Drosophila melanogaster: one gene and its partners. The protein of the gene in region 1 interacts with the protein of each later gene in a pairwise test. Each region holds a gene or a part of one and is shown in the gene's direction. Other genes may lie near its edges. The genes, in order: CG10311, Tsp33B, sle and CG30080.

Evidence for each region.
Region 2: the proteins of CG10311 (region 1) and Tsp33B interact in a two-hybrid assay, tested with the Drosophila melanogaster proteins (one large-scale study listed by BioGRID).
Region 3: the proteins of CG10311 (region 1) and sle interact in a two-hybrid assay, tested with the Drosophila melanogaster proteins (one large-scale study listed by BioGRID).
Region 4: the proteins of CG10311 (region 1) and CG30080 interact in a two-hybrid assay, tested with the Drosophila melanogaster proteins (one large-scale study listed by BioGRID).

Annotation. Positions count from the first base shown.
Region 1 is NT_033777.3:16,350,259-16,360,089, reverse strand, and holds CG10311 (uncharacterized protein), read left to right. Parts: upstream 1-3,074; 5' UTR 3,075-3,290; intron 3,291-7,730; 5' UTR 7,731-7,758; coding exon 7,759-8,001; intron 8,002-8,058; coding exon 8,059-8,212; intron 8,213-8,859; coding exon 8,860-8,960; 3' UTR 8,961-9,304; downstream 9,305-9,831. Other genes in the region: CG42446 (uncharacterized protein), read left to right, coding at 1-197, 257-392, 447-466; CG17931 (uncharacterized protein), read left to right, coding at 949-955, 1,302-1,407, 1,479-1,548; Manf (mesencephalic astrocyte-derived neurotrophic factor), read right to left, coding at 9,507-9,673.
Region 2 is NT_033779.5:11,789,702-11,795,435, reverse strand, and holds Tsp33B (tetraspanin 33B), read left to right. Parts: upstream 1-3,070; 5' UTR 3,071-3,132; coding exon 3,133-3,885; intron 3,886-4,060; coding exon 4,061-4,168; intron 4,169-4,223; coding exon 4,224-4,343; 3' UTR 4,344-4,411; downstream 4,412-5,734. Other genes in the region: CG14937 (uncharacterized protein), read left to right, coding at 1,389-1,410, 1,490-2,805; CG14932 (uncharacterized protein), read right to left, coding at 4,500-4,953, 5,010-5,066, 5,126-5,164, 5,222-5,260, 5,321-5,377, 5,431-5,432.
Region 3 is NT_033777.3:10,331,236-10,340,707, forward strand, and holds sle (slender lobes), read left to right. Parts: upstream 1-1,879; 5' UTR 1,880-2,041; coding exon 2,042-2,078; intron 2,079-2,161; exon of another isoform or gene 2,162-2,254; coding exon of another isoform or gene 2,255-2,261; coding exon 2,262-2,348; intron 2,349-2,415; coding exon 2,416-5,924; intron 5,925-5,986; coding exon 5,987-6,208; intron 6,209-6,272; coding exon 6,273-6,710; 3' UTR 6,711-7,030; downstream 7,031-9,472. Other genes in the region: CG12818 (uncharacterized protein), read left to right, coding at 384-406, 463-562, 621-1,364; CG12592 (uncharacterized protein), read left to right, coding at 7,168-7,180, 7,241-8,811, 8,876-9,316.
Region 4 is NT_033778.4:15,697,263-15,704,600, reverse strand, and holds CG30080 (uncharacterized protein), read left to right. Parts: upstream 1-2,904; 5' UTR 2,905-2,925; coding exon 2,926-2,972; intron 2,973-3,028; coding exon 3,029-3,222; intron 3,223-3,277; coding exon 3,278-3,387; 3' UTR 3,388-4,737; coding exon of another isoform or gene 4,738-4,913; intron 4,914-4,982; coding exon of another isoform or gene 4,983-5,013; 3' UTR 5,014-5,447; coding exon of another isoform or gene 5,448-5,585; 3' UTR 5,586-5,875; downstream 5,876-7,338. Other genes in the region: CG46433 (uncharacterized protein), read left to right, coding at 4,738-4,913, 4,983-5,013; CG42662 (uncharacterized protein), read left to right, coding at 5,448-5,585; CG33462 (uncharacterized protein), read right to left, coding at 6,687-7,159, 7,222-7,338.

The DNA of each region.
Region 1 (9,831 bases):
TTCGGTTTTTTCAAAATTTATTCAGATCAGTAAAATACAGTATTATGGGGGACTGCGCAGATGCAAAATTAGTTAGTCGAGTTACGGTGCCACCAATACCGAAACTTGGCGACATGCACATGTATTGGGTGTGGCGAATGCTGATTAAATCATATTTGGATGCTATAGGTCTTTGGTCTGGAAATCACCCAAAGGAGGTAATATATATACTGTTAATAAATATGGTGGTTAAATCTGCACAATTCGTTATTTTAAGAGCGCCCATACAAAATTTGTGCTGCTGAGCACGTTGGAAATATGGGTTGTAAGAAGGGAATACGATGAAATGAGCAGCAGGTCCATTTTCGAAGATCTCGAGGAACGATATGCTATCACTAACAATGACAAACGAGGTCAGTTGGCAATGGATAGATTTATTTAAAATCAATAAGATTTGTTTTTATTAGACTCTATGTACAACTTTTGATTGCTGCCTGGATTACTACTGTAGTGTAATAAATCTCAAACTTCAATATATAATTATATATATTTATAAATTTGGTGAAAATTGTCGATCTCGGACGGTTGGATATTATATTCATTTAAAATTTGTCATGGTAAGCATGCATAAAATTGTACAAAACACATCACACTAGCTTAAATCTACTTTCAATGAAATTATATTTTAAATATCAACCGAAGTCCCGGGAAATATACCAGCTGTGCTCATTTTGAGCACACCAGTGCTGCCCATCGATTACCACGCGTTAGTGCCTGTGCGCATCTAACGCGTTAGTGTCTTCCAACTTTTGACACATCGTTCAATAAAAACAAATCAACTTCGAATGCTCGAAAAGCAGCAGGAATATTTAATATAACGCTAAACAACTTAAATTTACTACTCTCAAAAGTAGAAGTGTATCAAAATTGTAGCTATTTTCAGTCGAGAACCAAGAAGGAGCCTTAAAAATGACACGTAAGTAAGGGCATCATGAAGCCATTTTGTTAATACTGCACAATGTATTAAATGTGCATGTAGATCCACATACATATGTATATCTATCTATTCGTCTAAATAACAAATTAACTAGGATTACCTCCAGTGTCATGCAAAATCGTAATCTCCAAAATATGATAAGAGAATTAGAATTTCGACCCGAAAGTAATCCTGGGTTTTCGCGTATAGAGCAGGCAAAAATCGATGGACAAGCAGAGGACATGTGAACGCCTCTAACCTCTCATAGATTATGTAGATCACATTTAGCACGCGCCACTAACCAGCTGCCACGTATTAACCAATTATAATATCACCAATTTAATAGGCGGCAACCAACGAGACCTGGCCCGCCAGAAGAACCAGAAGAAGCAGGCGGATTTGACCAAGGGAAAGCGAACCGATAACCTCACCGTGGAGCAAAGGAAGGCCAGGTGAGTGATTTACATTTTCAATGTATAATGTATAAGATATAATATTATTAATAAACCAACCCATAACGCAGGGACGCTGAGTTAATGCGGGAGAAGCAGAAAAAAAAGGAAGAGGCCGCTGCGGCGGGCACAAGCAAATAGTCAACCCACTGGCTTGATAGAGATCTGGACTCCCGGTTGCATTTCCGGACAGGTTAGGCTTATAGTCAGTCGTTCGTCAGCCAAGACCCCGATTCGCCCAAGGACCTAGGATAGTTGGTTAGAATGTACATGAAGCAACATACATAATTCACGAGAATTGTATACAACTACGCATAGATATTACCGGGCTGTACAGCACGCGACATAGCAATAGCAATAGCAAGTGCCACCCAAGGACTTCGATTCTGTTCCGGTTTTTGTTCATTTTCGTTTGCAGTGCTGCTGTACGATAATTAAGTAATCTTACATTTTATTTCTCCACCTACCTGACTAAATTATTTACTGTAATGTATATATATAAATTTTCAAATAAAACATAATATGCAGCCGACAGAAAGACTCAATTATGTGTTATTGTGTTTGACGAAAATATATATATAGATTATGGCACTCGATAACGGTCGATTGCTACCGAAAATTAACTTTAACTAATGAATCCCTTTTCTAGCAAATATGGTCGCCGAAGAGAGAGATATAAAGATTGATAATCCCAGAGCAATCCCCATAAGTATAGCTCAAGAATGTTAAATATAAGCCTTAGATCTTTAAAATCGGAGTATGAATAGGGCGCTGGATACGACCTACTAAACTTCCTGGTCTGATTTAAGCATGACCTAATGAGGTATTTAATTTGCCTCGAGTCATGCTGAAATTTGCATACAATGGAATATGGATATTTGTAAATGGCACGATTTGATAAATATGAAAGTAGCTGCATGCCAAAGCTTGCCCCACAAAACTATCGCCTAGATGCCAATAAGTCGATTGCTAGCATTTACCTTTTACAGAATAAATGACCAAAAACCTGGCCACTAACGACTGGCAGATGCACACAAAAAACATGCTGCTAAATAAAATTTCAGTTTTAGTTTAATTTTATTTTATTTATGTATAAGAAAAGATATCAAGAAACAACAACGAATTTTGCGCAAGACTGGTAAACTAAGTCATTGAAACTTAAATACTGTGACTTTTATCTTTTGGAATACCTATCTGTTTTCGAATAGATCTTCATACATTGTGCCACAGTGCACGGTCTTATTCATGGCCAATAAAGGCAGATGGGGTCATGGCGTGCTGATGTATCTTCGGCTGAAATCTCGAGTTCCTTCAACGAGGAAAACAACACGGATGTAATGAGAACGTCCACTGATTTGTTTGACTTGGCTAGTGCAATGCGCTGTAGAAGATCGCCTCACCATTGTTTGACCAAGTGCTTGATATCTTCATGCCGGAACAGCAGAGCAACGTGGGCCATCGAAACGCCTAACTGGTTTCTGCTGTTTCTGCCTCGGAGAAAGCTTCTTGCCGGTCACGCAAAAGCTGTCTTAACTAAAAACAGCGTCCAAGTTTTGAGAACTTTTCAGCCAGCTAGCCGAGAACGAGCGGAAAAATCAACTAACGCTCGCAGATGTGAAAAATCGCGATCGCGAGTCGGCTCTCACGTTGGCGGCAGCAGCCCGCGTTTTCAGTCGCTCCGTGAAACCCGTCGCACTCACATCGAAATCGCGCGCAAGTCGTCGGATCCAAATCGCCTCGAAACGCTACGCACTTGGAGGAGGCAAATATCAAATATATGAGAATAATTAGTTAGGAGGCAGCCGAATCAGCGGAATCAAATCGATTTCCCTCGACTGCATTTAGCAGTGCTGCACCATCAAATCAAAAATAAATTAGAAAGTGTAAGTGAATATATGGCTGGCTGCCAGGAGACTGACATTATCAGCGGAGAAATGCAGGCAGTTGGCAGCCGATTGGGCGGATCGGGAGATCAATCGATCGCCGTCGCATGCAAATCGAGTGATAAACGATCGCCTCGAAATTGAAATAACAGGCGAGCAGCTGGCCCCCGGAGGTGGATACATATGCATATGTGTGATCAAACAGAAGTGTTTCTCGGGGAAGGGCGGCGTGAGGAGTGGGAGGAGTAGGTAGCCCCCAGTAGCCATATACTCATATACCTATCTATACTATACAGCCAGTTACCCGACTTGAGGCGCGCTCGTCTGCCTTGCGGTTGTATGTGCTTATTTATACAAAATATATTCAATTTCATTAAGCTGTCGCTGCTGGCTGGCCGTCCAGTAATTTCAATATTCAAATGATCGCTGATAGCTAAACCCCCTGACTTTTTTACTTTTCTGAGCGCCCGCAAAAGCTGCGGTAAAATTGAGAAAACCGCAGCGTATAAATAATTGGAAAACAATAATGCCACTGTTTGATCGCTGACCCAAATTGGCAGAGAAAATGAATGCATCTTAATGAAAACAGAGTCAGTCTGTTTGCTGCAGGCATAGCGATCTATATAGTCGATGCACTCGGTGATGTCAGAATTGCGAACTGACATTGAAAGTCTGCGAACGGCGACAACCTGAAAGCCTTCTTCTTTGCCTTTTTGGGGACCTCAAGTTGAACACGTTGCGAGTTTAGGGATAAGTGGGCCATCCAGCCCAGTGTTCAGGTGTGCGGGGGCGTATACGTAATATGCGCGCCTGGCATACATTTCAACTGAGCCACATTTTGGCTATTCGCCTCAGTCGCGAACCATAAAAATCACATCAAAGCCCCAAATGAAAGCGTCGTTCATTGAATCTTAAGTGGCCACTCCTCCTGGGAAGTAATTATAAAGGGAAATAAACGGTCTTCAAGACAAAACTGTTTCTAATCCATCCACATTTGGCAAAGTTCAGTGACGCGCATCCACTTGGAAGCAGTGAAAAATGAACAATGTGAAGGTTACTCAATTTACAAGGCAACAGATAACGCCACCAAATTTTATTTGACAAAAAATATTCTGGCAGAACAAGCCAAGGCGTTCGCACACCTACGCCATACGAGATGGCACATGGGCGTAGAATTCTCGACGAACAGGTGTTGAAAATCATAAGGTGGAGTCCCATTCCTGACCCCAGACAGCCACTGATCAGAGATTGTGAGAGCTGTTCCAAAAGTTCCACCGCTTTTGTCGACTCTCTAGATTTCTAGTTGCTCGCGACCTTGTGATCTATTAATAAGTGTTTCGTGTTTTTATATATGAATCATTTTGATGGGCGATCTGTTTATGAGTTAACTTTCGTTTGGCTGGGAAAACGAAAAGCCCAAAATCCGAAAGATCCCCGAAAATTGAGTTTTTGATCGCGTCCAATGTCGCGGCTTCATTGACCCTGAAAACTATGTAGTGTCGACAGAACGAAAAGTATCTCATGGATGCGCGCACATTTGTATCTTGCGTCTAAAAGACGCCGCTGCCACTAGTAATTACAAAATCTTGTTCGGCAAACGGAAACTTCAAAGGCTGCAATTGAGTTTGCAGCTGCAACGGTTTTAATTGATTTATATGGCAAGTCGAGTAATGTTTAAAAAGCCGCGGAAAAAAGCCAATTTGACAAAAAATCAAAGACAAAAAGTCAAGTGGGAGCTGGAATAGCAGAAATAAAAAAAACAAAAAAAAAACAAAAATGCGGCGTGCTTTGGACCTGTCAAATTTGGTAGAACGATTTCTACCGGTTTCAAATGGACCTAAATAAATGAAAAAAAAAAACAGACCCGGCCACTCAAGTGAGCTCCCACTTTCTGTCGAAGATTGTAGATTGAGCAATTTCCAGCCACATACAAAATGACTTTGTCTTTTCGATAACTTTTGTGCCTGGCGCAAAAAGTAGCGCAGAAAAATGTCAAACTTAATTACGCGTTGAAGCGCAAACTAATTGCCGAGTGGATTTGCGGGCTTCAGCGGGCAGCAGGGTCACAAAAGTTCGAATGGCGATAAAGTCGACAACAGCCAAAGCCGAGAATAATTGGCTTTGGCTCCGTTTTGCGGCCCACGACAACAGATAATAGCCGCACACAAAAAAGTATCTGTCAGATATACATATTTAAAAGCTGGACACGTGCTCATTGCACACGAAAATTAGCATTTACTTGTGGATCGAACCCATTTTCCACAAGCATAAAGGCAATGGCAATTGAAATGATTTATATGAGCATTATTTCACTTCGCTTTACTAGACAAATGGGTCAGCTTATGGTTAATGGGATACGATAAATGATTACTTGTGTTTTTATAATTTGAATTTTATTGTAAATACTTGTAGTTAAAATAATTTGTATTATAAATTTTTATTGAAAGTTATTATCTCATATAAAGTAATAACAATAATTACAATATGACTACGTTCTGAGACCATTCTACTATTTCGTGGTCTGACCCACAAATTTTGCAGCCTGCGGTAAATGTTTTTTGTTTTCCTTTTCTTGGCTTGCATTTTCTAAAGCCACTTTCTAAAATAAATATAAAATATTGATGTATTCCATGAAAAACGTCAAAAATTCATGCTTGAGTAAGTGCATTCCCAATGCCTTTTAATTTGTTTGTCGACAAACTTTACCTTTCACAAAACCGGCAGCATCCGCCACACTTTTACTCCCACACCATCACACTTCAGACCCAAAGCAACTCCATCCAGCTACGTAGTGCACGTCCAACTGCCCAGTTGCACTTGTCAAGTCAGAAGACTTTCCAAGACTCCAAGCCTACGTCAAGTGGAGGCACGAATTCCTCGGAAAGAGTCGCCCACGCCATGGCTTGAACTTGACTCCAAAAGCTGCGAGTCACGCCTATATATACATATAGTAAAACCACTTTGTGTGAGGCGAGCGGAAGTCAACGTCAGCATTAGATGAGTTCATTGCGAATATTAACGCCATTAAACGAATGAGTGGGCTGATCGCTTCCATATCGAGGTTGTCTACCCCTTTCCACTGATATGGAGAAGTCTCTAATTGTTCGCCGAGGTCTAAAGTATCTTAGCTTTACTTGGGTTTGTTCTTCTAACCAGGTCAAAACAGCGATATCGCATTGCCGCAGAAAGTAACCCAAGACGTTTGTCTGAGTTGTAGAAACCAGACAAATGCTTTCTGCTCGGATCTGTATCCAATTGAGGTACCATTTATAAACAGACGCAAACGTGGAGATCGTCTGAGTTAAAAACCCGTGCGAAACGCGTGTAAACGGCATGTTAATGCGCCATATGTCCGGTTTATGAGCCCCGCCGCCAGTTTGTGACGAAACTATAAAAAAAAGTTTTTGAACTGCTATAATTTAAAGAATGTGATGTGATCTTCGGCACGCACCCTCACCGCCGCCCCTGATAATTGCGCAATTTGTATAACACTTCTGTTGCCCAGATTGTTCGCATCTCTTCACTGTGTTGTTGTAGGTCGTTTGAGGTGTGAAACTCAGCGGAAATGGGCTTTACATACAAATGGTATCTGTAAATGTATCTGTATCTGTTCGCTAAACTTTAGTTGTTTGCCCAAGGCATTTCCCAGCCAGCCTTTCTATAATGACTCAAAGCGTTTCCATGTAAGACAAGATATTTTGGCATGTGATTATCTCATCCAAGACCGCCGTGAGCCACATGTATACATCAGATATATCACATGGATACACAAGTGCCCGCATCCAATGGATGCAAACCAGCTGCAGCGGCATTTGCAAGTGCCAACATGCGCCACATCAATCTGCAGCCGGTCCGAGGCACGTTGAGCGTTTGATTAATTTAATGACAATGCCCGGTGGCGCTATTTCGCTATCTGGATAGATGGGTGCAACCCACATATGTATACTCGTACCAGTTCCGCCGATCGTGTGCGCATGCACCGATGATATAAACTTTCCCAAGCTCGCCATCTCTACTGCCATTCCAGCTCGAATCCCTGAAGGAATAGTACGATTAAATTAGTCATTCGTGTCGTTGATTTATTTTAGAGCTTCCATAAATATAAAGCTTACGTCTTTCAAGTATTTCACGCTTTCTGTCCATTGTTTTCTTTGTTTCTTCTATTTTTAAAGCACATTTGTTTAATAAACATTTATTTTTTTTGTGTGCTTGACGTCACAACTGGTAAAACTGTGGAATTTTAATGTTGTAGTATTGGTTGTCTTTACTTTTGCAATAGTTCGGATATTTCAATTAAGTTACAAAACATATCTTTGTCTAGTTTTACATGAGTATATCGAGAACTTACTCACTATTCTATTGCTGTGTTTTTATTCTTTTAAGTTATATGTGTTCAAAATGGTACTTGAAATTGATGATTGTGTTTCTTAATATTTTCAGCTGGTAATCACAATATAGATTTGCCAAAATGCCGAAGCCACTGTTAAATTCGTGCTGTCTGTGCCAATCGACCCGGAATGGCTCCGTTATCTCGGGCATACTGGCGATAGTCCTGTCGATCATCACCATCGTGGTGATCTTCACGACGCGGGTGCACTTCAAGACGATAATCTTTGACTTCATCCCCAATGACATTGTTAAGATAATTCTAGTCATCAATTTGTGCATGACGATCTTGATATCGCTGCTCATGATCATTGGTGCCCTGAAGGTGTGTACTCAGCTAATTTAATTAAATGCATACAATAAAAATCTATCTATGTTCCAGCGGAACCACTACCTGATGGTTCCATGGGTGGTCCTCGGCATTATGATTGCCATCGGTCTGCTGATCTCCGTCATCTACACGGGCATCGTCTTCTTCATCGACGGCTACGTGCTGACGGGAGTCCTCTGGCTGATCTTCGGCCTAATTGTCTGCGGTAAGTGCACTCCCTCTTGGTTGGTGAAAAATGGGTGAGGGGGGGGGGGGGGTCTTGCTACTTCTCCATGTGCGGTTTTTAGCACCGGATGACGGTTATTGCGAGCCGTTTTTAATTTATAGACGCATTTATCATGCCATGATTGCCCGTGTGCTGAAAACAGAAGTGCCCCGGCGCCGCAGACTAGAGGATTTTGGAGGTAACTTGCCGGGTGGTGCAAGCAAATGAGGCGCAAAGTGGCTTGTTGAGGCCATTTGTAGAAATGTCAGCTGCAGAACTTTGATAGGAGTTTATTGGGAAAGCTATACGATTGTTAAATAAGCTCATTAAATGAATCAAACAAATTTAATTGTATTAATTCAGCGGTATAAAAGTTAAAGAACCGAATCACATTGTGAATGCTTCAGGTTTATACATATATTCCTCGCTTTTTTTTTACTTTTGAAAAATGATATTTTTCAAGTTTTACAAATTTGCATATTAAATTTGATAAAAATTAAGTGCTTACCGAAAATGAACCACATACGAGTTAAAAGTCAATTTACATTACATCGTGTAAAATCGGATGCAATTCATGTAGAATATAAAATGACAGCACTCTTTTGCGCGCACATGCCCTAACCCAATGTTCCTCCTCCATCTTTCAGCGATTATGACCTATTGCTGGTGCGTGGTCTATAGTGAATACGCCAACCTGTCCGAGGAGAACGAGCGCGGTCGTTACAACAAGCAGCCGTACCGTCGCTAGAATCTCCAGGAGCACTATTCATCAGAAATTGCATTCAAGAAGCTGAATCCACCACCCACACATCTTCATCCTAGCTTCCTATGTTCGTTTTTAGTGATTATGTCTAACTAATAATTATAATTTAGTTGAGGCGAGCCAGCCCTTCGCTCACATCGAATTTACGCGGCCCGTGGCATTAAGTGCAATGGAATTATGTATTTAACATTTAAATAAAACTTTAATCCAGATATTATGTGAATTTCTGTTGTAATTTGTACGTAATACTTGTAATTGTGAAAGAGGAGTTCAAAAACCGAAAACTAATAACAAAAATAAAAACAAACTATTTATCAACCGTTTGAGAGGACGAGGTCTTGTGTGTTTGTTGTTTTTTATTTCAAAATATAGGTTTTATCTTTAGGCATATATAGTTATATTCAATTCTCTCAAAGTCTATCAAAATTGTAAATTAACTAAAAATATGGATGTGTAGGGGGCGTTTCATGTGGTTGTTGTTTTAGCTAAGTGGGCGTGTTCCATGTAACTACACAAGTAACTGACTGCGCTCTACAGCTCGCTGCGCGAGTACTTGGGCTTCAGCTCCTCGATACGCTTGATGAAGTCGCCCTTCTCCAGGCAACCGTCACAGCTCTCGTCCCAGTCGTTGAGGATTTTCTTCAGGTCGCGTACCTTCAGCTTCTTCAGGTCCACGCTGTTCAGATCGATTTGTTTCTCTGCAATGAACAATCCACATAAATAAATGTTTATAGAAGTATATTAAGGCGAAGAGCAGCGACAGAAAAGCTAAATGTTAAGCCAAGTTAAGAGTTTTTGTTTCTAATAGACACCCTAGATTAATTGACTCTTAGTAAATGACGATTAACGTTTTCTA
Region 2 (5,734 bases), on another chromosome or scaffold:
CTGCTTTAAATTTTACAAAAAAGGAAGAGAAATCTAAAAAAAAGTATATTAAACACGAGTCAAAGTTTAATAATTTAGTAAGAAAACAATACACAGACAAACTGACAGACACACGACCCACACATTATGCTTCCTTTTAAATGCAACATTTTATACATTTAATTATCGAGAATTAAATGCTTAAAATACAATTTTAATTTAATTTAACAAACTGTAACTGTACACGAATAAACGGAAAATGTAAAACTGTTTGTTTAACCATTTAAAGACAGAACTTGGTTTTATTTAACCTAATTTTATTGATTCACGATCATCGCAGCAAAGTGCACATTTTGAATACACTTAGAATGCAGGGAACAATTGAAAATTGAAAATGAAATTATCATTGATATGCATGTATTTTGCTTTCACACTGAAAATAATTGTTTTCGAAGTCGCAAACACACACTATCACACGTCTATAATTATGTAGTTGAGTATCCGTGTTAGTTTTTGGGTGTTTTTGGATTTTTGGTGATGTGTATAGAGCGCAGTATATAGAATGCATATAGAGATATATATTATTGTACGATTATTGACTAATATATAACGGATATGTATGTGTAGTACGTGAAAGGCAAGTTTATGGAGACAATTCACTTGTGTTGCAATATTAATGAACAAACGAAATAATTTACTTGTAAGTTGCGTAGTGCAAGCCGTGAGAATAGAGGTAACTTTCTCCACAACCCACACTCACTGATCGACAGACACATACCCATTAACCTTAATGATTAAACGCTGGGACAGCGGCAAAAATGTTTCCTAGGAGAAAAATTAACAGAAGCTGAAGAAAACGCTTGGAATGCCCCAATTAACGTAAACATTAAAAGCAACAAACAGTAACAATACTAAATAGAAACAATAATGTACTATAAATCAGATACAATACAACACTATATATACCTAAAATATATATGCCTATACGACAGAAATTGGACAACAAATGAAATATATATATATATAGTATATATTGTACAAGTTACGAGTAAAATGTAATTAAAATTTATGAAGTAGTAAGCACTAAACAAAACAAATAAATGAGCAGCAAAAACGCGCAGCATAAGCATAAAACCGGATTTTACAAGAAACTGAGTAACCCTGAGTAGAATTATATTTTTTGGTTAAGGATATTATTATGATTTCGTATCTCTGGGATACCCCGAAAACTATCGCTTCGTTTTCCCATCTCCAAAAGGATAAGTCGTTTAGGTAGCGCGAATTCCGCCCGATCTGCCTGGAAACCCACCCCTAAATGACCTTCGCACTAGGTAGCATCGGACTACTGACCGTGGCAACTGCGTGAATTCATTAGTATTCCAAGTACCACGATCGAGAACAGACCGCAGATGACGTCCGCAAGCGATACAGGTAAGGAATTGGCTAAAAACGAAAAAAAAAAAAACAATACAACTGAGCCTATTAAGACGATCGTCCTTCAACTTTTTAGAACCCACTGCAGTAACGCTGCTCCAGCTGAATGACGATGTCCTGGCTTTGATCATCCGCCAGCTGGACACGTACCAGCAGTTCCAGATTAGCAGGTTGAACAGGCGCTTGGCGGGCGTAGTGCACATGCTCTGGGAGACCCGTGTTCGCAACGTTGTCCTGCAGGACGAGATGTTCGGACGCTCGGGAGCCAATTCCCGACAGTTTGTGGCTTTCATCTTGGCCCTGGCTCCGCACATGCAGCACCTGAGTTGCAAGCAGTTGGATGTCCGAAGACTGCGACTGCTCAGTAACCACACGCTGGAGAGGATTCACTCTTTCGAGTGGCTGGGCAATGTGTATAGACGGAGACGCGTTCGCTTCGTGGATGAGGATGTGCGAATGCTGCAGAGGGTATTTCCCAATCTAAAAAGCCTCAAACTTAGAGGCTGCCAAATTACCGGAAAATACCTATGCGACCTGGATGAGCTTACCGATCTCCGCCTGCATGATTGCCATTTTCTGGAATCGCAACACTTTAGGGACATCTTCCGGCAGCTGCGACTACGCAAATTTGACATAATGGAGGACTGTGACGAGGTGAACTGCTGTGATCTGGCGGATCTGCAGCTGTGTCCCACACTGGAGCATATCAAGATTGCGGATTACCACGTGTGTATGGAGTCGGATATTACGCAGCAACTACTGACATTGCCAAACCTGCGAAAGCTGTCGATCTATTCCAGGAACTTTGTCTTTGATGTCCTATCGAGGATAGTTAGTCCCACAAGTCCTCCCGGCGATGGCCGACAAATTGAGGCCTTTAGTTTCAGTGGAGTTTTGCACGACTATGGCCGGTTCTTCAGGGAGCTGGGAAATCTTAGTCACTTGACGCGACTGGAGCTGCACAGCCAGCCAGAGGAAGAGGAGGAGAAGGAGGAGGGCGTCCAGGTGCAGTGCCTGGGGGATCAGATACTGCGGCAGCTAGCCAGTCAACTGGGTGAGCTAACCGAACTCCATTTGTGTGGCTATCAGTTGGAGAGTCCTTTGGGCCTGCTGGAATTCGTGATCAATTGTCGACAGCTGAGAGTCCTCGACATCACTCGAACCTTCTGCCATGGAGAATCCTTCGTCTGGAGGTGTATTGCCATTTTGGCCAAGCAAAGCTGGCGCATTCGCCCTCTAGAGCTGTGGATCCGGCATAGCGATATCAATCCGGAAATAGTTCAAAGTTCGCGCTGCGTTGATAACATAAGGCTGATAAAGGTGGATGCAAAACAGATTGGACCCAATACGGACTACACATCTGGCGTACTCAAGTTTAGCTTTGTGCGGTAAACCGCTGCCCCATGAGTGGGATATGCTCCAACTGATCAAGCTCCAAAATGAAAAGGTTTTAAACTGAAATATAGTTAAGTGTATACATTTATCAACTGCTTACCAAATAAAAAGATGTAAATATACATATTTGTAAAGCGATTTTTCAATGCATCATTGTTTTTACTGCCCTTAGGGATAAAAAAAATTAAATTCAAGTTGTAGTACACTTTAAAATTCAAACACCCAAGTCCTTGCAATCAGCGTCAATCCAAATGAAATTCGAGTTCAGAGCTAAAACCTCGTCGACAAGCCAAACTTTGGATCGATGCCCACGAGGATGACCAAATGCGCCAGCCCTTCCGCCGAGCCTCCGTCTACCTCCACCTGCTGTTAATAACCGAGGCCGTGATCGGACTGCTGATCCTGGTGGTGACCGCCTACTACCACACCGTGCTCACCGGCTATCTATCGGATATTGAGTGCCGCCTGGTCTACGGCTATCTGTTTGGGATCTACGTGTTTGGCGCCCAGGTGGTGGTGACCTTTCTCTGCAGCATTGCCATGTGGCGGCGAATTTGGCGGCGTCGCTGCACGCCGAACATTCGCCTCTTGCTATCCGTGTGGGCCTTCTACTCCTGCGTAATCATTGCCTCCGGTTTCGGGTGCGTTTGGAATCTTTACCGGGGTGTCGATGTCCTCGAGAATGCGGCGGACACCTCGCTGACCCGCGGCATCGACATGTACTACTCGTGTCCCGAGTGGAAACTCCTGTGGGACGGACTGCAGTGGCACAAGGAGTGCTGCGGGGTGCATGGCTACAAGGACTGGATGAACGCGGAGTGGATGCCACGGCGGGAGAATAACTGCACGTCGATGGTCCTGGCACCCTTCGCCTGCTGCAAGCGCTCCTGCGACAGCTGCTTTAACAATTTCCTGCCCAGTGAGGGGCAGTCCATCGGTGGCAATAGCCGGCAGCCTTTTCCCGCTCTCACCGTGGACTCAATCAATGCGAACGGATGCTTGCCTGCGTTCGTTAGTGCGGTGTGGAACTGCTTTTACATCCTGATGGCGTTATGGGTCCTGGCCCTTAAGTTTCTGGTAAGTAATTGGTAATGGGCAACGTTTTAAAGTCAGAACAATGGTGAATATTGGAGCCATATTCATTAAATTCTGTCAAATTCATTAGCGTAAGTCATATTGAAATCAAAAAATTTGAATATGCAACAAAATTGTATTTTAAGATAAGACCTCCCTAAGTCAATCATCTTTTTAGATCGTGCTTTGTTGTATGACCAAGTTCATAGTTCACCGGCAGAACGAGGGCGATGGCTGCGATAATGTGGGACTCACGGACGATGATGGACATCCCTTGGTCGTGGTGGTGGGTTTATCCATTTACTATCCATCGATAGCACCTAAATCAGTCCATTCCCCAGAAATATCCGTGTAACGTGCGCTGTGTAACAATTGCCGAGGATGATCTGGTATCCGACAACGTTCCCGATATTAACTACTGCAATTGCACCGAAATGGACGACGAACCGTGTGGATACTAATATTGTGCTTAATTTTACTTTTATATTTTATATTAATTTAATTAAATTTACGAATTTGAGTTAACTTCATATCCAATCGGTGAACGCAATATATTATTTATTGGATATTATAGGATACTTATTACATGGATGTTGTAACATTGGATGTTAAATGGATTAACGGCGCATCCTCTTGGATTTCTTCAAAGTCTGACCCACCAGTTGAGCAATATGTTTGCGCAATGCCAAGAAAGGCTTCAAGCAGACGCGCTGCTCGACGAGACCCACAGCAATGCGGTGAAAGAACTCGGTGACATCCACGGGCTTGGCCAGCAGCTGACCTTGTGATACCGAGCCGTTTTCCTCTGAGGCCTCGGGCGTAGGGCTACGTGCCATTCTACGGATGAATGGTTCCAAGTTGCCCCTGCTACGTTGGGAAACGCGAGCTCCAATGGACTCTGATAGCGCATTATTGGCGCGAGAGAAGGTGAGACGCTCCTGAGATCCCGAGTCGTTTTGATCCGGAGTCTCTGGCTTCTGTATCACCAGTTCGGGTGAGGTGGGGTTTTTCTTTGGAATTTTCGGAAACTCGGTAATTTCGGTAATCTCCAAAGCACTGTGGGGACGTCTTCTGTAGAGAATCCGAACCCGTTATTCCACGTTCTACATTACGAAACTATAACTTACGGTGTACCCGCCTCATAAGTGACATATGGGGACCAGTCTGCCCCATCCAAATCCATACTAAAAGGTTCACAAAATGAAGAAAAATGATTTTGTTTTATAACATTAAATTTACTCACTCATCTTCGTTGGAACAGTCATCATCTTGATCACTTTCCCTGATTATAAGGCAACTTAAAAATAATCTATCAAAACATTATATTAAAAAGACTTACACAGAAGACTCGCAGGTAATCTCGTCACTTTCGGGAGCACTAGAAAGGAAATACATATATTGTCAGTGTTTTTCTGAAGCTAAATTAATGAAGTCTTACGTAGCTTCTTGATATTCATCATCATCGCCCACAATATGAGGAACCTTTGATTGGGACCTGCAATGAATAATCCATCAATATATTTAATGAACTGCTTTAATTTTAATTACATTTTTAACAAATTTTCAACGCCTAGCTCCTGGAAAATGACAATGTGAAAAGCCGTGCGGCCAGTGTGTCCACTCCAAGGAATGTTTAATAAGAACATCAGTGTTGATCAAAATACTGTTGAAAACTTACTGGAGCATATGTAATTAATATATAAAATTCAGTTAAAGCTCAAGTCACGTGTTCTTAACATTTAGTAAAAATAGAAATTTATACTAAAGGTTTTGGTAAATTTGAGCCTTAAAATTTTGGTTAAGTTTAGCCTTAAAATGGCAGTTAAACATAAAAAGTTTAAATTCCTATAAA
Region 3 (9,472 bases), 6.0 Mb from region 1:
TACTCTGTAGGGGTTTTTTTCGCAATTCAATTCGGAAAATAATTGCTGCGAAACAGAGCTCTGTGCTTCTTCTTCTTCTTCGTTTTGCCCCTTCTTCTTCTACCTTCTGACAGATGTGTTTGCCATTCGATTGCTAGCAATCGCCTGTGAATGCCAAAAATTAATCGAGTGCCCAGGGGGCGCGCGAGTGTAAGTGGGTGTGGCCACGTCAAGTCAGCAAAGTAAACACATTTAAAAAATAAATAAAATAGTCCACTTTTCAAGCTAGAGAGCAACAAATTCGGCCTACTGCGCTTAGGGCATTCGATAATTCAGAGCCATTCGATAGACAGAGATGCCTATCGAGTAATCGATTACAGGAATGTCAACAAAGTGGAAATAAAATGAATATTTTACCAAAAAAACGGTAAGTTTTATACTGATTCTAAAGATACCTCTCATCAATTCACGTGTATTTCTTAGCTGGCATGTGCGTACCAAGGAGAACATTGCCCGCGTGCGCCGGGATCAAGCGGCTGCCGCAGCAGAAGAAAAAGTCCGGCAGGAGAAATTGGAATTTGCTGTGGGTATTGCCCAAATATCGTCAATTTAACATAGTAATGTGTACTTTTATCAAATAGGAAAGCGAGGCACGAATCAACTTCCTGCGCCGCCAATCGGGCTTGCCGGAGAAGGCCTCCAAGGAATCTCGAGAGGAGTCGCAATGCAGTACTGAAACAACCAAAGGGGTGGATCTCTTTGCCGACTACAAGGCGAGAGTGAAGACCACTAACAAAGACTTGGAAAAGGAGCAAAAGGAGGAGCAGGAGAAGTATGAGAAGCAGATCGGCTACCTCACCTACTTGGGCCAGGACACCAATGAAGCTTTGAAAGTGCGCAGCTGGTACGAGTTAGCCCCCAAAAGACCAGAAGTTGGGGATCCCACAGCTACTGAAACTCATCATAAGCAAAAGCTAGCCCACGATCCTCTGACCCTAATTAATGCTTTGTTGCCGCCAGAAAAAAAGGATCCCAAAAAGGCCACAAAAAGAATTCGCGAAAGGACACCCGCGCCTTCTCAGGAACCTTCAATACCCCACAAGGACAAGAAATCCAAGAAAGATAAGAAGAAGCACAAGAGCAAAAATGGTTCAAGGGAGACCCTTTTGGCCGAGGAACGCATAAAACGAGAAAAGCTCGAGACGCTAAGAAGGGAGCGCATGCGACGGGAAACAGCGGAACGCCAGCGTTCCGAGGCTCTGTTCGCACCCAAGGAGCTGCCGGTGGCTGCCAGTGCCGAATCCACGCCGGCTTCGACGCCTAAGGTTGTCCAAAAGTACAACAGTCAGTTTAATCCGGAGTTAGCAAAGCAAAATATGCTCTAGCCATTAATTATGTTTTCAACTTAATGTTAACAGCCTGATTATGAATATAATCACTAAGCAAATAAATAGAAATTACACTTTATTATTGAATTGTCTAAAAAAATACTCTTTGTTTAAATATAAAAATGATTATCGTCAAATATTTGTACTTTTATAAATACATACATATGTATAAACACATCGCTTTAATATCCAGTTATTCAACCGTTACAAGAAGTCTTGGCGGTTTGGTCATGGTTTAAATTTAGATTTCGCGATAATTCCGCTTAAATGATATCGGCTACTTTATCGGTGCCGAAACAGGCCAATGCTGCACAGCGTCTAAATCGGACGAACTATTAAGTGATTTTGCACTTAAAATAAGAAGATAGAAACCTAATTTCGAATAAAATTTAATTTAAGATAATTCATCAGTTGAAGGTGATATTAGGCTATCGACACATTGAATTTAGCCCCGAAACTATACTAGTTTGAATTCTAACGGCCGCCACACAAATGCTCAACAGCCGGCTGCAGTGTTAGAGAACGTCGCAGTTTGCGGCACATGTGAAAATCACTTTTTGGCTCGGCGTCTTGGCGTCTTCGTTTCTATTTCTTTGTTATAATTTGCATGCGGGTTCGAAACTCTCTTGATTTCAATTAATTGTTGTGTGCGAAAAACAAAAGAGCCGGGCCAAATGGATGATAATACGGAGAACACAGATGGAAAGCGCGGTGAGTGAATCTAAGCGTGCTGTGCTGAAAAAGCAACGGGACAAGTAAACCGGCGCTCCAAAGTCAGCCATTAACGGGGGGCTCCTATCTCAAGCAGGTCGCCTTTGCATTCGATCGAATAAAATTTATTCTTACACATTATTCATTTTTTCGTTTATCCGTTTAATCCAATAAATATGGTAGTGACCCGGGCTAGAACTCGTCGCTTGTCCCTTCTGGAAACGGACAGTCGTCCGAGCACTCCGCAGTTGGATACGGTTGCGGAACTCGGTAAGTTGTGGCCCAACTCGGATCCCGGTTGTTTCAAGTCTAAGAATATTATTTCTCGCTTCAAAAGGTACCGCTTCGCCACGTGCCACACGTCGCACACGTCTGAACTCGTCCACTTTAGATGTGAGGACTCCAACACGAACCAGGCGCGCATCCTTGGCACGCGGTGAAACTCCCGAGCCGACGACGCCCTCTTCCGTGAAAAGGACAGCTCGCACGCCAGCTAAAAACACCAGATCTGTGCGCCAACAGCTTACACTAACAGAGGAACCTGAGGAAAATGAGGTCAAGCAGGAAAAGCCCAGCCCCAGTCCAAGCCCTGTGCCCAAAGAGGGCAAGGGAAAGGCACAGCGGAAGCCCAGTGTCAGTCCGAGTCCAGGGCGAACACTCACACCCAATCAGCAGAGTGATGAGAAACGAGTGACGCGTTCAATGTCTCAGACTCCACCAATGCCCACTCGTTCGTCCAGTAATACGCCTCGTGATCTTAACGATTCACCCAAAGTTGAGCAAAAAGCTAAACCCAATATTAAAACCACTCCCAAAGTGGCAGTCAGGCTCGAGAAACTTTCAATGGACAAATTCTCTGGCAAGAAGATGGAAAAGGCGAAGCCATTGATTGTACCGGATGAACTCAAGGATAATGGAGTTGTTGAGGAGCAAAATAAATCTATCACTGAAGCCCATTCACAGGCACCAGAAACACACGAATCAGCCCAACCTGACAAGGATGCTGGCAAACAATCATTCCTGAAGTCATTTACTACACTTTCGAAAATTCAAGGTTCAAGTAAAGCTCTTCACCCTGATGAGAGCGCAGATACAATTACAAAAATAACTCCAACCTCGACATCCAAGAAAATTGAAGAAAACATGGATGATGTGTTTGAAACACTACGCGTCGAGTCCCCCAAAGTTGAAAGAAAAATCGAGACTCTGCAGAAAGTCCATACTGTTGGCACTCCTGAAATTAAAGAAAAAGACGAGCCCGTTGGGGTAGACAATGAAATTAAAACGAAAACCGAAACTCCCCAGAAGATTGAACCCCCTATAATTGAAAGCAAAGTAGAAACTCAGCAACTGATTGATCATCCTCAAATAGAAAAGAAAAGAGATACTCCACAAAACGTTTCTACTGTTGACTTAATGGACACAAGCCCAGAAAAAGATGAGTCCATGGAGGACCAAGAGTTTTTGGATGCAGAAGATTCGATTGTTCAGTTAGAGCCACAAACCGATGAGCCAGTAGAGAAACCAAAAGAACTGGAGTTTGTAGACCTCGACGACGATGAGCCGGTATTTCCGTCGGAAGCTCCAAAATATGTCGAAGACAGTAAGGAAGTACACCCAGATGATTCAATGGATGATGACAAGCAAAACAAAATCGATGTTACCGAGGTTATACATCTGCCCAGCATAAGAGCTCGTGCTGTGCGTTCTCCTGCTGTGGAGCAAAAAAAATCGGTGGACTTCAACAACGACACTGATGACTTAGAGGTAGAAAAGAAACGGTTTCCCAAGACTCCAGGACGTGAGAAGGTGCCAGTTTGTCGCATTCTAACCCCCAAGCCGGAGACGCCCTTAAAACTGGCTCTGCAAAAGGGTCGTAATAGTTCCACACCAATATTAAAAGATCAGGAACGTGGCCTGTCCAACAGCACGGAGGAATTGCATCCAGCACCTCCTCAAATTGATGCTATCAAGCCATTCGATGAGCTGGAATCAAAGAATGCTAAGGATGAGATGGTGGAACAATCACCCATGTCAAAGCAAAAGGCTGAGAATAAAATCCTGGCTCGTCTAGAAAGCTTTGAGGAAGATGTTGAAGACCACGGGAATGAAGAAGAAAACGAGGAGGAGCACGAAGAAGACAAATCCATTTCCGAATTTGTGGACCTAGAAGCTGAAGATGCTGGGAAAGATTACATGTCTGGAGATTCGATGGACAGTTCGCTTCGCCGGGAAATGGAGGAGAATGAAATTCCAATCGATGGGGAGTCCGTTGGCAGTAAAGATACTGAGGAGTCTACCCCAGAAGAATCTGATGGCGACGATTCGTTTATTGTATCGGACAACGAAGACGAGGAAGATTTAGGACAGCTTTGCTACTCCTCTGGCGAGGATGAAATTGAAGACGCTGAAGAATCTGAACAAGCTGAGAGGTCTAGCGTGAAACGTCGCCGCATTATTATTGCGAGCCCCAGTGATGAAGAACATGATGGAAAAGTTCAGAGCAATGACGACTCAAGTGAGAACAAAACAGAGAAGCCCAAAAACCAAAGTAACTGCTCATCCAATGCCAGTAAATTGAGCGAAGCGGCCCAACTGTTAAACGTCAGTGAGGAAAAATCTTCCATCTCGGAAACCGAGCTGGAAAGATCTCGCCAAGTCGCTCTCAACGAACTGAACAAATCGGAGCGGTTTAACAAGACAGAAACGCAACTCGATATCAGCGTCATGGAGGTAGACTCCTCGGATCACGACGAGGAGGAGAAGACAGAGAAGGTTGGAGCCAAGAACAACAGAAGCCTGTACGAAATCGTGGATTCTGATGACGGGGAAGAGCAAGATCAAGACCAAAGTGATGCAGATAAACCAGCTGAAAGCGAAAACCATTCCGAAATTAAAAAATCTACATCTTTCATGGACCAAATGTCTGGAGCCAAAGGCAACAAAAGCGTATACGAAATAATGGATTCTTATGAAACTGAAGACCCTAAGGAGGCTGGTAAAAACGAGGAGTCTGATAAGGACAAACCGGCCGAAAACGGGAAGTCTGATAAAGACAAACAAGCCGAAACCGAGATGTCTGATGAAGATAAACCATCTGAAATCAAAAGCCCTTCCACAATCAAAAAATCCATAATTTCAACTGCGGATGAAGAAGCTCTGCTCGCCGAATTGGCCTCTAGTGATCTAAGCCATTTGGAAAAAATGTTTAACCCTCTACAGAAATCCCGCCGCCAGTCCTTACATGTCCCCAGTCCCGAGCTGGCAGCCAAGAATCCCAAACTGAGACGCCGTAGTGAACGGGTTGAAGTTGGCAATGACTTCTGCCCCTCGCAGTCCTTTGTTGACATGGTGGCCGAGAAAAAGAGGCAGAAAAACAAGCGCAAGCGCCTGTCGAAAAGCCTATCAGGCGCACCAGAGGATCTTGAGGAAATGGAGATTAAGCACGAGCGCAAGCGCCTTAAGAGCTCACATGGTGCTTCCACGGATTCAATGGAGGAGGACAACGAAAACGAAACAATGACTGTCGCCGAGGAACATCACAGCGACGGGGAAGTCTCGAATGGTGAAGTTCCTATTGAAGAAAAGCCCACTACTTCATCTGAGAAACCATCTGCGTCGGAATTACCTGAAGAAGAAGAAACTGTCGCCGTTGAGGAGCTTCTCATGGAGAAGCCGAAAACTTGCGATTCACCGCGATCCGAGGAAAGACCGACAGAAATTGTGACTTCAAAACCGAAGGGTATGGCGCCGGTCAAGGTGGAGAAGACTGCCGAATATTACTTGGCATACTGTCACAACCTCCTGGAAGCTGCCAACGAGGCTAAGTTAAAGGAAAAGAAAGAGGTCAGTTTCTTAAATAAAAAATCTCCTTTACGATTCACACTAAATTCGCTTATATTTTATAGCATCTTGCCAGCGGAGCAAAGCAAAAGAAGCCAAAGCGAATTGCTGCGCAAGCGCCATCCAAGCTCCTGGGCACCATCGGCTCAGAATCGGAAACCAACACAGCGAAATCGTCCAAGCAGCCACCGGCGCTGAAGAAGGATGTAAAGCGCCTACAGGCAGCGCGCCAGGCTGTGAGTCATGCTGTTAATCTTCTGGCGCCACCAAAAGCCACCGAAGCAGAGGTAAGCGTTAGTTAGTCGCCTACAAATAATAAGAGTATAACCAAAAGTCCTTGCTCCTCCGCAGCCACGCACGCTCTCGCGCAAATTGTCGCCACAGCCGCCAGTGGTGGACAAGAAATCAGCCAAACAGAAGAAGGGGAAGAAGAAGCAAAAGCCCCAGGAGGCATCACCGCTAAAGAGTTCCGATGAGGAGAACCACGGCCATCGTATTCGAACAAATGCTGGCTACGTGACGGTGGTCGATGAGCCGCCCACTAAAGTTCCCAAAATCGAGCTGATTAAGACAAGTTCGGGCATGGTTCGAGTTGAGCCGTGCACACCCAAACAGAAGTATTTCCGCGAGCTGCCGCCCACACCGAAAATGCATGGGTTCCGCGAGGAGCCAGGACCCTCCGGGATGTCAAGGAAGCGGGCCAAGCACGCAGCACCAAAGGTCGAACACAATTCCGCCAAACAGGCGGCGCTGCGCTTCAAGGAGCAGATCTTTGCTCGCAGATCTTAGGATACATTACATTTAGAGAAAAATTAGTGGAAATGTTAAGTGTACACAATGCATACTTCAGTTTTTGTTTCTTTTCATTAGCATTTCCCCGATTGAATTTGATTCTATTATTTGTTCTATTGGTTATTTGTTACGCAAGCCCTTGCTCTTTGCCATATATTATTATTTTGTTCAATTGCACATCACTTAACCACACTTAACGCTAGCAAGTTGGTTGTTGATCCAATCAAGATATGAAATCAATTAAGAAATTTTCGAACTTGTCCCCTTTTTTTTTGAGCATCTGAGAAACAGAAAATAAAGCCTACCCATACAAATACAAAATGAAGGAGGAAACTTTTTATTACGGGTCCGAACATTCGGGGACAATTCTCTGGAAAAGTAGGCTGGCGGTTGCCTGTCCGTCATGTTGCACAAAACTTTTCATATTTTTTCACATATGGCTCACCATTTCGCAATGCGAACAATTTGTAAGTAAAATGCTATTCTATTCTCAAGATTTAGTATCCTATTTCGATTTTTGCTTTTAGTCAATGCAAAAATTGGCGATGCAGCCTACATCCAGGATGAACTGTCTTCGTCGCTATCCTCTTCTGTGGCCAGCAAATTCAAAGAATTTTCGAAGCGCAAACGCATTTCGGACAGTTTCTCGGATCTTTCAGAAGAACTTGAGAGAATAGGTTTGCGACAGATGAGGAAACGCATTAAGTTGGAGAAATCGTTCGAAAGAACTCCCAAAAAGAAGGTCCAGACCAAGAAGCATTTACCACCGGTTCGGAAGAAGGATAGCGTGAAACGTCGCCGCATTATTATAGCGAGCCCCAGTGATGAAGAACATGATGGAAAAGTTCAGACCAATGACGACTCAAGTGAGAACAAAACAGAGAAGCCCAAAAACCAAAGTAACTGCTCATCCAATGCCAGTAAATTGAGCGAAGCGGCCCAACTGTTAAACGTCAGTGAGGAAAAATCTTCCATCTCGGAAACCGAGCTGGAAAGATCTCGCCAAGTCGCTCTCAACGAACTGAACAAATCGGAGCGGTTTAACAAGACAGAAACGCAACTCGATATCAGCGTCATGGAGGTAGACTCCTCGGATCACGACGAGGAGGAGAAGACAGAGAAGGTTGGAGCCAAGAACAACAGAAGCCTGTACGAAATCGTGGATTCTGATGACGAGGAAGAGCAAGATCAAGACCAAAGTGATGCAGCTAAACCAGCTGAAAGCGAAAACCATTCCGAAATTAAAAAATCTACATCTTTCATGGACCAAATGTCTGGAGCCAAAGGCAACAAAAGCGTATACGAAATAATGGATTCTTATGAAACTGAAGACCCTAAGGAGGCTGGTAAAAACGAGGAGTCTGATAAGGACAAACCGGCCGAAAACGGGAAGTCTGATAAAGACAAACAAGCCGAAACCGAGATGTCTGATGAAGATAAACCATCTGAAATCAAAAGCCCTTCCACAATCAAAAAATCCATAATTTCAACTGCGGATGAAGAAGCTCTGCTCGCCGAATTGGCCTCTAGTGATCTAAGCCATTTGGAAAAAATGTTTAACCCTCTACAGAAATCCCGCCGCCAGTCCTTACATGTCCCCAGTCCCGAGCTGGCAGCCAAGAATCCCAAACTGAGACGCCGTAGTGAACGGGTTGAAGTTGGCAATGACTTCTGCCCCTCGCAGTCCTTTGTTGACATGGTGGCCGAGAAAAAGAGGCAGAAAAACAAGCGCAAGCGCCTGTCGAAAAGCCTATCAGGCGCACCAGAGGATCTTGAGGAAATGGAGATTAAGCACGAGCGCAAGCGCCTTAAGAGCTCACATGGTGCTTCCACGGATTCAATGGAGGAGGACAACGAAAACGAAACAATGACTGTCGCCGAGGAACATCACAGCGACGGGGAAGTCTCGAATGGTGAAGTTCCTATTGAAGAAAAGCCCACTACTTCATCTGAGAAACCATCTGCGTCGGAATTACCTGAAGAAGGTAATTCAGCGCCACCGGCGCTGAAGAAGGATGTAAAGCGCCTACAGGCAGCGCGCCAGGCTGTGAGTCATGCTGTTAATCTTCTGGCGCCACCAAAAGCCACCGAAGCAGAGGTAAGCGTTAGTTAGTCGCCTACAAATAATAAGAGTATAACCAAAAGTCCTTGCTCCTCCGCAGCCACGTACGCTCTCGCGCAAATTGTCGCCACAGCCGCCAGTGGTGGACAAGAAATCAGCCAAACAGAAGAAGAAGGGGAAGAAGAAGCAAAAGCCCCAGGAGGCATCACCGCTAAAGAGTTCCGATGAGGAGAACCACGGCCATCGTATTCGAACAAATGCTGGCTACGTGACGGTGGTCGATGAGCCGCCCACTAAAGTTCCCATAATCGAGCTGATTAAGACAAGTTCGGGCATGGTTCGAGTTGAGCCGTGCACACCCAAACAGAAGTATTTCCGCGAGCTGCCGCCCACACCGAAAATGCATGGGTTCCGCGAGGAGCCAGGACCCTCCGGGATGTCAAGGAAGCGGGCCAAGCACGCAGCACCAAAGGTCGAACACAATTCCGCCAAACAGGCGGCGCTGCGCTTCAAGGAGCAGATCTTTGCTCGCAGATCTTAGGATACATTACATTTAGAGAAAAATTAGTGGAAATGTTAAGTGTACACAATGCATACTTCAGTTTTTGTTTCTTTTCATTAGCATTTCCCCGATTGAATTTGATTCTATTATTTGTTCTATTGGTTATTTGTTACGCAAGCCCTTGCTCTTTGCCAT
Region 4 (7,338 bases), on another chromosome or scaffold:
ATATGCACTAAACTCCGGATACCAGATATATACATGCATACGTGCGGCATTAGTGGTAATCCCTAGTTTGCCAGATTGCGCTTATGCCACTCGTTTAAATTGAATTGCCACGGCGCTGCGCCAGCGACTTTTAATGCGTTCCATGCAAATAGAGGCGCTCCTTCAGCGCCAACTGCCGGGCACGGACAACAATTACGCGCATTATCCTTTCGACTGGACTCGGACACGGACACGGACACGAATCCGGATCCGGACGATAACACGGCGTTTGCTTAAACAAGCATAAATGCGAAGCGCTAAAAGGACACTAACAGCGAAACGGAAGCGAAACTGCTTAGTTCGCGAGTCGAAGGATTAATGCTCTACCAATATTTCAAATTTAAATTAAATAAATTAAGAAAATACAAGTTACGATGATCCCTTGACAGAATCTCATTATAACACAACTAGTTTTGTAACTTATAAAATATCTGAAGGAATACCACATATTTAATTAAGCTCATTTGTTTGGTACCAATTTAGTTTATAACTTTTAAAAATGTAGATATTAGTATAGTTATTTCAAATTAGCTTCTTATTTATGTAGCCCAACATCGTGCAGCGCATTGGTGCTCTGAAATTTTAATTTGGCTAAGTAGCAGGCAGTGACAGACAGTGGCACTAGGATGCGAATACCTTGTTAGTGGGAATCATTCGGATTCGACCCATAGATACCCTGCATTCCCCAGAGAATCGCGTGCCCTTGGACTTCATTTCGTGGCCCAGAATGACCCAACCTCTCATCGCCCTGCTACCCTGCGTAGCTCGAAAAAACGCTAATTTAATTTTAACTTTGTGCATCCTTTCCTCGGACCTTCTGCAGGACCTTCTCCGCTGCTTGTCCGTTTATATATATGTACTCCAACCGACTTGTGTTTGATTTCGCTGTCAGCGTCTTTGGCACACTTTTGCAGCGCATTAGAGAGCTCAACTTTGGGGGGAGTGGGGCGGAAAGTTAAAGTCAGAAACGGAGACGGTATAAGAAAAAATGAATCTCGAAACGGACGCGAAAGAGTAAAAGTAAAATATTTGTCCTGCCACGGCCATTGCAAGTGAACAGCGCTGATTGCGGCACTAAAAAGAAACGGGTTCTTGTGCGGCGATAAGATTTTCAGCATCACCATCATCCGACTGCCAACTGCCAACTGCCCTTTTCATTGCGACTCCCAACTTAATCGGTCCGAAGTTTGGCCATCGCCGTCTAATGTGCTTCGCCAAACTTTTGGGTCCGGCTCAAAGGCAGTTGGCACCTCGGACCACTTTCAGTTATTTACGCAGCGTCGCCTGAACCTGACAATCAGCAGCAATTTGCCTCAGCGCCTGGGATCCGCACTCGAGTCCCATCCACATCCACATCCGCATCCGAATTCTTATTCTTATTCAGAAAGCATCCGATAAGCATAACAGTTGTCGTCGTGCCGCCGGCTTACACCTTGAAATCGGATTTTTAGGGTGGGTTCAGTGATGAGCAAATAAGCAAAAAAAGTTAAATTAAAAAAAGAAGTACGGTTATTTATCAAAATAATTTTAAAATATTATTATCAAAAAACTTTTAAATATTATTTTGGAGTAATTTTTCTAATTAGATACATATCAGGTCATATTTTATGCCTTTCCAACCGGGAATGGTATTTTTCCATTAGCTGAATGGGTTTGAAATAAGCAAGAAAAAGGATATATTGGCACCTCTGGTGGGTTCGGTGGTTTCAGTGGGTGGCTGGGCGTCTGGCGGCGGTGCGCTGCTGCCAACAAATCGTCGCCAGATGGTGGCGACAATAAAACGTTTTACAATGTAACCAAGGCGACGACAAGGAGCAGGATCCGTGTGGCCATGTGTGGACAACAATGTGCAACAAAGTTCATAATTGTTTATGGCGACGGCTTCGATTTGATTTTTATGTCTTCAGGACTTGGGGCAGTGATTGAGTGTTGGTCTCAGGCCACAACCAAGGGGAAAAATGTTATAACCTCTAGCATTCAACTGTTGTAAAGAAACCTTAGAGTTTTTACATGCACCCGAAATTCAATTAAACAATTGTAAAGTAATATATTTAATGGTAACTCACAACTAGTCGTTTCACATACTTTCGAAACCATTTAAAACTTAAGTACGTGCATGAAATGAAACTTTAAATTCACCCTCATGCATCCATGGAATCTAAAGGTATAACATTATGGCACATAAGTTGCTTTTCGTTTTCTATTTGGCTTAATGGCATAGAAACATTAGGGATGAAATTTCAGACTATAATATTCCCCAACCTGCGGGCCCCGAAACTCCCGCCAGTCCGTTGGCTTCATTATATTGAAACTTTGACGTCGTTATTTTGCATAATTTACAGCTCGCTTGAATGCAGCAGCCAAGTATATTTCTATAACTACGCCGGTGATGGGCGGAAAATGCGGGGGGAAACTGCGCGTGTCGGTTGTCAACGCTACCTTGGCACATGCGAAACGTGAACTTCGAGACATCGAGTTAATGATTCGCACTTGTTCGCCCCCGCCACGCCTCCTTTTTCGACGTTTATGAGGCAGTAATGAAGTTGATTTATTACATTACACGACTTCTCGGGATCTTCGATTTCTTCTTCAGCTCAACGCACAGAGCATTGAACTCTGCATAGAAAATAGATACGAAAATAGACGCATTGTGACTGCAGAAGTAGCCGGCTGAACTCAAACATCTGTTCCGCTAGTTCCGCCGGATCGAACCATTTCCTAGATGGCTATAAATAGATAATGTAACGCCCTAACTCCAATCTCAGACACGCGTCTGCGATCGTCAGCCGCGACTGAGGGCTAAATTTAGAATGTGGAGAAGTAGGGCCCGCCAGCCACCCAAAAACATTAGTGTGGAGCTCCAACTTCAGTTTCCTTAGGAGCGCCATGGAGTGCAGAGCTGTTCCCATTCTACCCACCTATTCTCAAGCCTGGTTCGTAGTGCACAGTTTTGGATTAGCAAATCTACTAGTTAGTTTTTATTCAACAGTGGTACTCCTATGCCCCGGAAAACGTCCCTCTGCCGTACACTCTTTGATTATGGTCCTCTAAACGATCCGGTGATCATACTCATAACACTGGCCGTCGTAGTTGGATCCTTTTGCCTGCTCAGCGGATTCATTTTACTGTGCGTTGTCTCAAAAGCCTGGCAGGATGAGACTTCCGAGGCCATTCTCCTAATGGGTGAGTAACAGTGCTATTGAATTGATTGTTCCTATGATGAACTTTGGGTTTATAGCGATTGGCTTCTTCATCACGGCTTTGTCCTGCGTATCGTGGAAATTGACGCGAGCTCAACGAATTTCCCAGTTAGTGGATGCCCTCAGCGTAGATAACCAAACCATTTAGCTTGAAAGTATCTAACGTAAGACATATGAAAACTACGAGCTTGCAATTAGTTGCAATATACCTGATAAACTCTAAAACGTTCAACATTAGGGGCTGTCCGAAGTAAGATTGGTCTTAAGTTGTTTTTCCTATTCGCTTATGTTAAAGTACATGAATTATCTTATCAATGTCACCTATTTAATAATCTTGTTTGCTTTATAATAATATAATAATAATAATATTTAATATTAATATTAAAATATTAACCGAGACTCCCTGGTTTCGGACTAACTTAATACATAAGTGGGCTAATCAACGTGCCACCGCACGCAAAGGATAACCTCTCATTCGGTTTTGAAAGATTCAATTGCAGCAAGGCCATCCAAAGTCGAGATCCCATTTGAATCTCGCTCCCTCCAGTTATCTTCTGATCCCCGAATTCTCCGCACGAACTCTCACTGGCAATCAGCACGAATTCCTCACAGCAAATGAATTTCTTTGAAAGATTGGAATATCAGCATATGTCGCTTTGTTAAATGACCACTCACTTTAGAATTTGAAAAACAAGGGGCATTCCTCTTTATTTCCAAGTCCTTGGCGGTCAGCTGGTCCTTTGGCTTCGAAACTATTTTCGCGATGCACTAACATTCTCTGTAGTGTAAGCATTTGCCTGGCTTCTGATCGTAGGTGGTGCAGTATGTTTGATCTTGGGGAGGGAAACATTACTACAGGTCACCCCTCATCTGCTGGCACTTACAGGGCTTCTCTGTTTGGTTTCCAAAGGGAACTGCTTGTCCGGATTGTTGACCAAGTTTAAGGCATATGACCAGGAGCAGCAATTGCAAAACCGTCATTGCGCCACCAAGCTCTGATATGAACTGAATGCAGAAGACAGTCAAACTTCAGAGGAATCTCTGTGGATTATCTGATTACAGGTAGCTTGATTGCATATTGCAGTGATTAAATTTACAGAGAAACAAATAATGCTGCAGTGCAGGATAGAGAACATTAAATATTTATTTTAAATATAAAAAAGGGTGAAGAATGAATGCGTTGATACCATTTCTGTTAATATCTTTGTTTTCGGCTAACATAATTGTATCTTAAAGCTGAATTTTTACTGAATTAAGAGAAGATTTGCTCATCAGTCATATTACTAGCATAAAGAGGTTTTCGGTTAGATACACATCTAAAGAGTAAACCATATTGCGAATTGTAGGTAACAAGAATTTGATCCTCACTCCATCCTGCTCTTAAGGACATGACCTACCCCTGGGCATCTGGAGGCGCAAAGAAAATGCAGCTGCTTGCGCCCCTACCTGAGATCAAATAGTCCTTGATCCTCAGTCCGAAACGAGAACTCATCGAGAGATGCCACACTTGCAGAACATCGAGCGGGATTTTCCCCTTAACTGGACCTTGAATCCCATTCGGATCTCTAGTAGTCTCGCCGCAAATACTCTTTCCTTATATCGAAAGATCTCGCAAAACATGTGGCGCAGTTGTATTCAATTTTGCCATAGTCCCAAGTTCCAGCAATATGTTAGGTAAGTTTGGATACAATGATATTAGATATACATATAAAAAAATGTCCCTCCCTATATCGATTCTTCCAGATTCCTCGAGTCCAGTCTCTGTCAGTTTTAAAGAGCAATGATCCAAGAAAATGCGTCGTCGCCTCGTCTTCAAAACAGATTGCTTTTGATTTGCAATCTTGGCACGTTGACGATGCCAAAATTTGTTAGTTGAATTCATTATAGCGATACGCAGAGAGTCAGTCAACGATCTCGTTCCGAGAGGGGGGTTTCGCTTTGTTGTTTCAGAGTTCTGAAATACAACAATTTGTGGCATTGTAAAGTGCTCGTAACGCGATTGGGTTTGGGGCATTTCCAAGTCGGCGGCTGGGAAACTACCCTTGCCGCAGCAATTCCACCATCCAACCTTCAGTAGGGGGAAAACACCTCGCTTGGAGCTGCAATAAATTCCGGTCGCTATCAAGACGAGCGTTCAGTAACGTTTCAAAGCCAGACGCGCTAAGATTGCTAATTCCAAAGCTTCGACCAGTCGACGAGCATCAGAACATGGAGCACATTCGATTTGTTGACAAAGTCTTTAGAGCCCTGATCGCCGGCACCCTGCTGCTCCTGATGACCGCCATTTACCGGGAGGACAACAACTCCGGATCCCACTACATCCATCCAAGACACGCCATGCAGTAGCTCCATCGTGGTCTACTAAGATCGATTCAACCTAGTCCGATGCAATCGAATCTCTCGAAAGTGCGGCACAAAAACCGGTTGTGTATATTGCCGGCTCGACGACATATCGCCATATCAACTAACTGCACAAATAATGTTATGTTATATGTTAATAATGTTAATGTTAAGAAACATGTGTAATTATCTATAGCTCATCCCATCGTAACTAATCTAACTTATGTGCTATAATGTTAATACTTAGAAATTAGTTTTAGTGTGAAAATATAATATAAAATGCAATGTATATGAACACAACCATTTTGCTCAACTTGCAGATAACATGGGATCGGGAGGGCTCTGAAATATCGATTAGCAAGAGCTATTCGCACTCTTTGCAAAACAGGTTGCAATTTCATGCGATCCGAACTTGTTTATAGAAAACATTTTTAATGGGCCAATTTCAAACGACTTTAGCACGAATTTCTTTCTTTATCCGTGGCATACTCTAGAAGCTGACCTTAGCTAATATAAGCAATCACGTTTTGCTTATTGGAACAAGTGTTTTGAGCAAATTAAATTTCCGTGCAAAAGAGCTACAAGTGATATGAAGAACATTGGTACATACGACTAAGTTTTGCGGTATTTCAGTATTTTAAAATTGTTTTAATAAATAAATAAAAAATTACTAGAAAATGTATTATCAAAACTAAAAAATGTTTAATTATTTAAACATTACACAATGCATTTAAACAATTTTTCAATCTACATACATATCCTCCTAATTTTACATCACCAACGCTTAGCATGGTTTTCAACCAACAATGTAAGATCGAATCTTTTCTACATGAAATGTAACAAATATATGCGAAACTTGGCTAAAATAAAAAGTCTTGAAACTCAGATGGATTTGTTATATGTATAACAAGAAAATCATAATCAGTCAATTGAGATTAAGCCAATAATATTGTAATTTTTTTAAAAGGAAAACAAGATTTGTTGAGTTTCTTTGCTTAGAAACATAGAAATGTTAAATGCGACATAGTCTTTATTGTTCAACATTAAACTTTTTAATTTATTATATTAAACAAGGACTAGCAATGAAAGCTTACTATTGATATTATATTATTTCGGGTAGTAAAATACTGGAATTTTATCGACCCATTTCTTTAATGAACGGTTCATATCCGTCGAGGGTCCGTATTGCCGTACCACCCGTTTTATCCAGTCAGCGTAGCTCAATAGATCCATGAGAATGCCAGAGTTCTGGCACTGGCCCTTCACCCTGCTGGCGATGCCCAGTTGCACATAGCGGTCTGAGCCATTGTGCCACATTTTGCGGATCTGCGGAGCCCCGGAGTCGGTGCTGCAGAGTTGACTCAAGGTGTTGCCGGCGCAGATCTGTTCGAACGTCATATTCCAGCCATAGATTTCGGAGCACGTCTCTTTGGGTTGGCGGTCGATGTTCATGGTCCGAAGAACTTTGCTCGTTGCGTTAGCGGCAGTTTCACGCCAAACGGTGGTCGTAAACCAGGTGAGCTGGTCTATCGGCTCCTGGAAACGGTTGCTTGCGAAAATGCAAATCGGACGTATGTGATCTGCATATGTGAAATGCATCGATATTATAAAAATGTCGTACTCATATCCTAACTAGACACACTTAAGTACTCCACCCTCCTTCCGAGTCGCAGCATGCCGATGTCGTTGGTTTGGTCATTCGCATTATAATACCTATGCCTGAAGCCCATATCCACATTGTACTCCTGGAAGGGTTCCT